2 linked regions of the Callithrix jacchus genome follow. The protein of the gene in region 1 interacts with the protein of each later gene in a pairwise test. Links are inferred from orthologs where the notes say so. Each region holds a gene or a part of one and is shown in the gene's direction. Other genes may lie near its edges.

Evidence for each region.
Region 2: the proteins of PRR3 (region 1) and ASF1A interact in binary tests that used the Homo sapiens proteins (3 or more experiments, as listed by UniProt). The two-hybrid records come from large-scale screens. The link is inferred for Callithrix jacchus from reciprocal best matches to the Homo sapiens genes PRR3 and ASF1A.

Annotation. Positions count from the first base shown.
Region 1 is NC_133505.1:35,351,152-35,355,544, forward strand, and holds the start of PRR3 (proline-rich protein 3), read left to right. Parts: upstream 1-1,490; 5' UTR 1,491-1,531; coding exon 1,532-1,637; intron 1,638-2,353; coding exon 2,354-2,416; intron 2,417-4,393. Other genes in the region: GNL1 (guanine nucleotide-binding protein-like 1), read right to left, coding at 304-376.
Region 2 is NC_133505.1:125,224,642-125,229,190, forward strand, and holds the start of ASF1A (histone chaperone ASF1A), read left to right. Parts: upstream 1-1,698; 5' UTR 1,699-1,946; coding exon 1,947-2,055; intron 2,056-3,608; exon of another isoform or gene 3,609-3,904; coding exon of another isoform or gene 3,905-3,936; intron 3,937-4,549. UniProt on the Homo sapiens protein: Histone chaperone that facilitates histone deposition and histone exchange and removal during nucleosome assembly and disassembly.

The DNA of each region.
Region 1 (4,393 bases):
GCTCCGTCCTCCCAGCCACCCTGTTCGGGACCCTCCCGGATGTGCGCGGGGGAGTCACTCCTCCAGGGAGCAGTGCGGACCGTGCCCTGTACGAGCTGAAGGGATTCCCCTCCCCCAATTCTCCATCTTTCCCCACCCCTTCCAGATGTAGGGGGGGTGGGGAATCCCCTCCGCGAAAGGCCTCGAGGGTCAGCGCTCTCCCACGATCCCCTCCCACGCCCCCGAGAAGTGCAGCTAGCACACCCCTCCTTCCAGATGTGCGGGAGCCTGAGCCCCGCCCCCTCCTCCCGCTCCCGCACTGACCTCTCTTCCGCTCCCGCTTGTCCTGCAACTGCTTCTTCTTCTGCTTCACGCTGAAGGGCTTCTTCCTCGGCATGGCCCGGACCAGTCACCTGGCCCGCCCTCCACCGAGCTCCCGCCGCCTCAACTAACTGCCCCCGGGGCAGCCCCCGCCGCAGGGGCCCGGGACCCTAGAGGAGGCGGGGCTAGCAGGTGACGTCAGCGGGCGGGCCCGACCGAATTGCCGCGGCGGCCGCGATGGAAGACGACCGAGGGAGATATACAGTCACTTCCCTCCAGGAGCTAGGCGAGAGGATGATGCGGGGTGGGCTACTGGCACGTGAGAGCCAGTGGCACCGAGAGGGCGCCCCGGCGGCGGCGAAGGAGGCGCGCGTGGGAGGACCGGGCTAACTCCGTCACGGACGCTACCAACTTGCGTTCGGAGAAGGGGGGATGCGTGTCATCACTACTTTGCGCTCCCGGGAGAAGCTACCACTCACCTGGAGGGGGCGGTGGAGTGGAGGGCGGGGCCTACTACCTAGGGGAGAGGAGGCGTGGACTCGCTGAGACTACAAAACCAACCCTCGGGCTAGACCTTACTGGAAAACCGAGACTGTGCGTCCCGGGTAAGAAGCCAGGTTGCTGAGCTACACCGGGGGCACGATCAGAGGTCTTTAGGGGAGGGCGGCGGTCTGAAGAGTCCTGGGTGCCGACCTGCTGGGACCCAAATTCCTTGTGAGAACGATGATAAGTAGCAGGTTTACAGATGAGTGCAAAAGGGGACGAGAAGGGAAACCCAAACGGCACAAGGACTTTGGAGGGAGGTCAGAGGGCACGAAGTTGTGCCTGCAGCTGTTACCATAGTAACCGGGGACCGGATGTGGCGATCTTACGGTGCGACAGTCCTCTTCTCAGGCCTTCTGGCCAGAGAGCCTCTTGACTCTGTGGCACACTCCGAGGAGCTGGTTGTGGTGGTTTCCAACGAGGGAAGAAGAGAGGAATTTTTTTCAAAGCAGTTATAGAAACGCAGCAAAGGGAAGGTGTGAGGTTGCCACCATGCCTAGCAGAGACGGACAGAGGCAGTTTACTCCAGAATGCGGCCGCTGCAGATGTTCCCCGCAACGTTCCGGAAATGGAATGGCGGGAGCCTCATCCTCGCTGCCCACCGCCCCGCCGGAAGCGGAAACAGAATCCCCGTGTGCCCCTTCCTCACTGCCCTCCAAATCCCGCTGCAGCCATTGCGGCAGCCACGATGCCGAAACGAAAGAAGCAGAATCAGCACCAGCCACCATCACAGCAGCAGCCCCCACTGCCCGAGCGGGAAGATACTGGAGATGAGGAGGATGGGAGTCCCATCGGTGAGGGGTCGGGGAGGGACGTGCACATGCCTGTCAGCCCGTCCGGGCGAGGGGCTAGGGGCTGGTAAGGTGCAAAGGAGGGGGCTGTAACGGAAGGAGGAAGGGCGCACGCGCTGGGGAGGAATGGAAGGGGCTGTCCCAAATGGAGCCTTGAACGAGGAGTTCTCTTACTGGAACCATCAACCTCAAACTGGCCCCAAACCTTTCTGGAGAAGGCGGGGGTGGCGAGAATAAAGAGCTCTTTTGCGCAGTCGCAGAACAATAGGGGAAAGGGACAGTAGAGATGTTGCAGATTGTGATGACTGGGATGACAGTTTGTATCCAGACTGACTGAAGAGGTGCAGGTGCAGCTTTCTCTGAACTAGTCCTCTGGCCAAGGGGAAGGAGAAGAGAATTGACTGGCCAGCAGTTGAGGGATTGGTTTATGTCTGGAGACACTTGGATTGTTTTGGATAGCGACGGTACGGTGAGGAAAAGAAAAAGTTTTGTCTTTTCCTGCATTATCCCCTTTGATTGAATATCTACTCTTTGCAAACCCGAAACAGCTTTGCAGAAAAAAGCGCAGGTAGATGGGGTGAGAACTCCTAAGACTGCTGAAAATATACCTGACTTTACTGGTTGAATTAAGAAATGAGTAATAGAAGAAAAACACCTAAGAACAGAATCATCAGTCCCTTAATCCATTCTGATGACCGTATTTTCATGTCTGCTCTTAGGACCACCCAGCCTTCTGGGCCCTCCCCCCATGGCCAATGGAAAACCTGGTGACCCTAAGTCAGGTGAGGAGGAAGGGGCCCTGATCCTTGTATTAGGTCGTGGAGAAGAGAGCAAGGGAGGGGATAAAACCCAGAAAGGACTTAAAAATCAAAAGATCAGGGATTCCATACCTAAATGAATGGAGAAAAGTTGTATATTTGCTGATTGAAAAACTCGATGTTGTTAAAATGTCACTTCTTCCCAAACTGATGTATAGATTTCATGCATTCCAAGCCAGAATATCTACAGTGTTTTTGTAGAAATACACATTTTTATAGGGAAATGCAAAATATCAAGGTGAGAGACTGTCAAGATGATCTTGAAGTGGGAAGGCTTGCTATGAATATCAAGATTTGTAAGCTGGGCATGGTGTCACATGCCTATAGTCCTAGCTACTCAGGAGACTGAAGTGGGAGGATCGTTTGAGGCCAGCCTGGGCTACATAGTGAGACCCTGTCTCTAAAAACAAGAGAAAAAGACTATAAAGCTATAATAGTTACAACGATGCAGTTTGGACACAATTATAGACATAAGTCAACAGGACTTAGGTCCTGAAGACTCCAATAACAGACCCATACATGTGTGGACACTTCCTTTATGATGAAGATGGAACTGAAAAGTTGGTCTTTTCAATAAATGATACTGGATCACTTGGATATTCATGTAAAAAAATGGAATTTCACCTTGCACTCATAATCATATATAAAGATCTATTTCAAATGGACTGTAGATTTAAGTATAAAAGGTAAGAGAGGCCAGGTGCGGTGGCTCACACCTGTATTCCCAGCACTTTGGCGGGCCGAGGCGGGCAGATCACCTGAGGTTGGGAGTTTGAGACCAGCCCGACCAACATGGAGAAACCCTGTCTCTACTAAAAATACAAAATTAGCAGGGCATGGTGGCACATATTCCCAGCTACTCAGGAGGCTGAGGCAGGAGAATCACTTGAACCCGGGAGGCAGAGGTTGCAGTGAGCCAAGATTGCACCACTTGCACTCCAGCCTGGGCAACAAGAGCAAAACTCCATCTCTAAAAAAATTAATAAATAAAAGGTAAGAGAATAATTATTCTAGACAATAAATGGGCTGGGTGCAATAGCTCATGCCTGTAATCCTAGCACTTTGGGAGGCCGAGGTGGTGGATCACCTGAGGTCAGGAGTTCAAGACCAGCCTGGCCAACGTGGTGAAACCCCACCTTTTAAAAAAAAAAAAAGAAAGTAAATGTATTTTCATGCTCTAAGAGTTCTTAAACAGACCAGAAATGCCCATATACATACTAACCATAAAGGAAAGATTGGTAAATTGAACTGTTAGAAAATATAAACTTGCTAAATGACACCATCAAGAAATTAACAGGAAACCATACAGTAGAAGATAATGGCAACAAATATAACCAATAGGCGGGGCGTGGTGGCTCACACCTGTAATCCAAGCACTTTGGAGGCCAAGATGGTCGGGAGTTCAAGACCAGCCTGACCAACATGGTGAAACCCCGTCTTTTTAAAAAAAAAAATACATATATATATATATAACCAATAAAGAGCCTGTATCTATAATACATAAATAACCTTTCCAGACAAGCTATTTGAAAAACTGACAAAAGACCAGAACAGTTACCTTATTAAAATGCAGATATAAACTAATGATCTAAATGAATAAGCATCAACATCATTAATAAATGCAAGACAAAAATATACCACTTTGAAATTAGAACTCTTGGCCAGGTGTGGTGGCTCACACCTGTAATCCCAACACTTTGGGAGGCTAAGAAAGGTGGATCACCTGAGGTCAGGAGTTTGAGACCAGCCTGGCTAACACAGTGAAACCCTGTCTCTGCTGGAAATACAAAAATTAGCCTTGAACCCAGGAGACAAAGGTTTTTTTTTGTTGTTGTTGTTGTTGTTTTATTTATTTTATATTTTTATTTATCCCTGTAATCCCAGCTACTTGTGGGGCTGAGGTAGGAGAATCACTTGAACCCAGGAGGTAGAGGTTGCAGG
Region 2 (4,549 bases), about 90 Mb from region 1:
TATGAGAGTAACTAGATTCTCAAGAGTACCTGTAATAATCAGACAACTGCATACACTAGTCTCACAGGAGTTTCAATCTTCAAATGGTCATTTTATCTTACATAAAATAGTGTCTTACAGCATACAGCAATTTCCACTTTATCGTAGCTAGTGTTAGGACCAGCCCTAATAAGAATGAAGAGTGTATTGTTTATCAGTCACAGAAATCTGCGTCTATCCCCATGGTTTGACTCTTAATACTCTAATGTCACAAACAACTGGGTTTGAAGGTCTTTTCTGGTAGGTCCTATATCTAACTGTTCAATCCACTGACAAAAAAGGAACTCTTCCCCACTCTGACATGGTTTTCCTAAATGTAAGAGGCGCTGATATTAGCTGTCTCACATTAACTTTCAAAAGACCATCAGATGAAAACGTTTCATTAAAAGGCACCTACTTAAGTACGAACAATGCCCAAAGAATGACAAATCAAAATTCTGGGCACTATACTAAGAGAAAATTCTTCCAAAACAGATACTTAAGAATTTTTCTCTCTGAATTTGGCCAAGTTTGGTGGTTTCATTCACAACATTTAAGGAAAAAAGTGATGGTTTATGGATAGCAGGTAATAAAACAACCCTTTACATCACTTACTAAATAGAAACGGTTTAGGCTCACAGACATGTTAAAGCTTCCTCTTTCCCTGCAATGGTAGTCAAGCCGCATAAACGAATCAACGTTTCCTCAGTTCAAACCCGAACTGGTTACAGGCAAGCAAGGGCTCCTGAGAATTTGCTTGCTGTGCTACAAATTTTTATTTACTAACGGTTTAGGTCAAGAATTTTTTTTTGAAGATCAAATGTCTTGCTATGCCTTTGTGTTCTTTTCCCATCTGTTATGTTTGTTGCCCTGTTGGTCTCCTGACACTTCCATTTTCTGTTCTCTCCAAATGGCTGTAACCTGGGGTATAACTAATCACATCGCTTGTGATTCTTTTCTTATTCTAGGACTTTCCAGATCTGGACTCGGAAGACGACGCCCAGGTGCAAGCCCAAAGGTTACCTATTTAGATTTTCCAAGCACAGTGTGTGGAAAATCATTCCTCGCCCTTCATTTTGTGTCTGCTTAACGGCGCTGTCGTGCCCAAACGTAGATACTGGCCAAGAGCTAGATTTCCAAAATGGCTTTGCTCCTTTCGAGCCGACATCGGTCTTTAACATGCAATTTATTTCCACTGCAGCTAATCATTCTCTCTACTCCAAATACTACCCGATACACAGAAAGCTGAACCTAACCCAGTGTAAACACGGACTCTCATCTGCTAAATTCAGCAAGGCCGTCAGAGCCTTTGCACCGATGTAAAAAAAAAAAAAAAAGAAAAAAAAGCGTTAAAACAAAAAACCAAAAAACAAAAAACGCCAAAACACCTCACACGAAACCAACTAGAGGGGCGGGCGTCGCCCGGATCGCGCCCTCCCGCCACGGCCACGCCTCCCCGCCGCGGCCACGCCCCTCGCCTCTCTCCGCGACGCCGGCGGCGGCCTCCGCGCGGGCCTCCCAGCCCTTATTCCACTCACTTTGTTCTCCGCCTTTGTCCTAATCCACACCAGCAGGTGGAGCCGCAGTTAAAGTTTCCGAGTCCATTCCGGGAGCGGGAGCCCATCTTGCTGGCTGCCGAGGCACTCGCTGGAGGAGGAGGGTCAGAGCTCGGGTGCAGCCAATCGAGGGCAACGCTGCTACTTATCAGAGCAGAATGGGCTGTAGTTTAGTGAAATAGGAAAGCTGCAAAACACTGTGGAGTGTTCCCGTGTAAATAAAAAGAGGGAAAAAAAAGTTTCTCAAGTCGCCGCTGCACGACGTCGGGCCGGCGCTGGGGCGGGGGTCTGCGCTCTCCCGGGCGGCCGCGCGCTGGACTTTATTGTGCCGCAACCAGCCCCAGTTCCCATTGTTTGTGTTTTTTTCAAAATATGGCAAAGGTTCAGGTGAACAATGTAGTGGTGCTGGATAATCCTTCTCCTTTCTACAACCCGTTCCAGTTCGAGATCACCTTCGAGTGCATCGAGGACCTGTCTGAAGGTGAGTGCGGCGCCCGCGCACCCGGGCTGTCAGTTGCGGGCTGCAGACGTTGAAAGTTTCCCGGGCCCGGCCTCGCGCTGGGCGGCCGTGCTCGGCGCCGGGCGGCCGCGGGCTCCTCTGCGGAGGGAAACTTGAAGTTGATGGACGACGGCAGCCGAGGCGCGCGCGGCGTTCCGCCGCAGCCCAGGCGTCTGCCGGGCTCAACTTGCGAGGAACTTGTTTGAGCCGAGGAGCGGAGGTAGCCATGTTGTCAGCTTTGTCTGCGAGCGGGCAGCTCGGAGACCGGCACTCGCGCCCGCGGCGCCGCCGGGGGTCGCGCGGGGCTGGCTCCACGACCAGCCTCCACGACCCTCCGGGCTTGGGCACGGAGGCTGGGAAGGGAGAGGCTGTGCGTGTAGTAGCGCCGGCGAGTTCGGAGCGGAGCCATCTTACCCCGAGTCGAGAATTGGGCCAGCGACCCCGGCGCACGGCGCCTTCTCTTGCCCCGCCGCCCGCCTGCCCTCCAGCCCCTGGCGAAAGGCAGGTAGTCAACTCTCTAGAGCTCACAGTGGAGTCGCCTCACTCTCCGGGCTGGCCATGCCCGGCCGCTTCAGAGAGGAGAGCGAGGCTGTCCTCGCGCTGATTTCTGGCTCCCTCGACCAACCAGCAGGGGAGGCGGGCACAGGCTCGGCCCCTCCGCGCCGCGGGCTGGGCGCCGGCGTTCCCCGGGGGCCGCGGGTCCTGTTCGGCCGGTCCTCCTCGGCCGGCGCCCGGGATGCGCCGGGATGCTGGCGCGCAGGCTCCCCAACCAACGTGGACTCCTTTCCCCTAATGACGAAAAGCTAATCTCAGGAAGAGAAATAAGAGCTGAGCTAGGAAGTTACATTTAACCTAAGAGCAGAAATTGGATACTTAAATAATTTCAGGACTTAATCTTTGCCTTCTAAATAGTCTTTAAGACTTTCTTCAAGGACGTGTTGAAATCTAAAATAACTCCACATCCAGATACACAACACACCCTGAACATGAAACACAAACGTAGGCTAGAAAATTAAGGTAAAATACTTAGTCCAAGAATTCTTTATATTTTTTTCTACATGTTTCAAGGTCTTAAAAATACGTATTTTAAAATATGTGTAGTAATATTTAGAAAGCTAAAACGACAATTATCCTTGCTTTTATTTTACTAAAGTAATTCAGTGCTTAATTTGCCAGTTTTGAAGGGGAAAAAGTTTAACTTCATCGATGAGGGACATCTTTGAATTAGAAGTATATTTTTAAAATGCATTGAAGATTTGGCTAATCATAGCATGTAAAACTATTTTCATTTTAAAAACTAGTTTTTAATCTCTAAAATGTATATATCTTATGTGAGTTGTTAACTTTATAAAAACAATATATGTTCATTGTAATAAACTTATAGAAAGTTGTACAGGCATATATAAAGTTAACAGTTCTCTGTGTTAAATACCTTCCCCTATCTCACTCCTTTAGGTAATCACAATTATTACTTTAACATGTGTGCCTCTGTTTTTTAAGACCTATGCAGAGCATAAATACACATATAGGGCAAATTTTAAAAGATAATTCATTTATTAAAATAATTTCAAATAGGCCATTGATAACATTAAGGGGTATTTTTCGTATTACTCTGAAGTCATCTGATTATTCTCTTACGATACTACTATTAATATAAGCATTGCAGCTACCAGCACCATTTTTCACACCCAACAGTCAGTAAATTTTTCTTTTTTATTGCCAATTGCATATAAAAACAGACAAAAGAAAAATCATTGGTCAGTCCATTCCAAATTATACCACAGTGTTCTTCAAATATACCACCAGAAGTTCTTCAAATTACAGGTATTTCTCAAGTGATGCCTTCCATTTTAGGAGTCAGCTCTGAACAAAGAAGATAGATGACTCAGGATGTCGTTATAGATGAAACCAGCCATTCATAGAAGCCAAAACATGTTCCATTTTTAAGTGGGATCCATTCAGAACCCAGCTGAATCACATCAGGGTTTTACAGTACTGGTGTCAAGAATATGCTTATTTCCAATGGTATATTTCACTTCCAAGGCACCATTACTGAGTATTTAGTATTTTAAAAAATATTTTAAGCTGAGTCATGCCAAAGCTGCAAAGGAATCTTTCAAAAAGGGGCCATGACTGTGTACTCCACCTAGAGGCTATGTGGATTTAGGAAATGAGTTTACTTAGCAAAGGTTTCTTATAGGTTCCATACTTTTATATTATAGTTTTTTTAAAAAAAAATTCTTAAACTATAGAAAAAATTTTTCTTTTAAATGAGACAGGGTCTCACTGTGTCACTCAGGCTGGGTGGAGTGCAGTGGTGCAAACACAGCTCCCTACAATCTCAATCAGTCCTCCCACCTCAGCCTCCTGAGTAGCTGAGAAGACGGTCAATGTACCACCATATCAGGCTAATTTTTTAGTTTTTTGTAGAAATGGAGTCTTGCCATGTTACCCAAGCTTGTCTCGAACCTCTGGA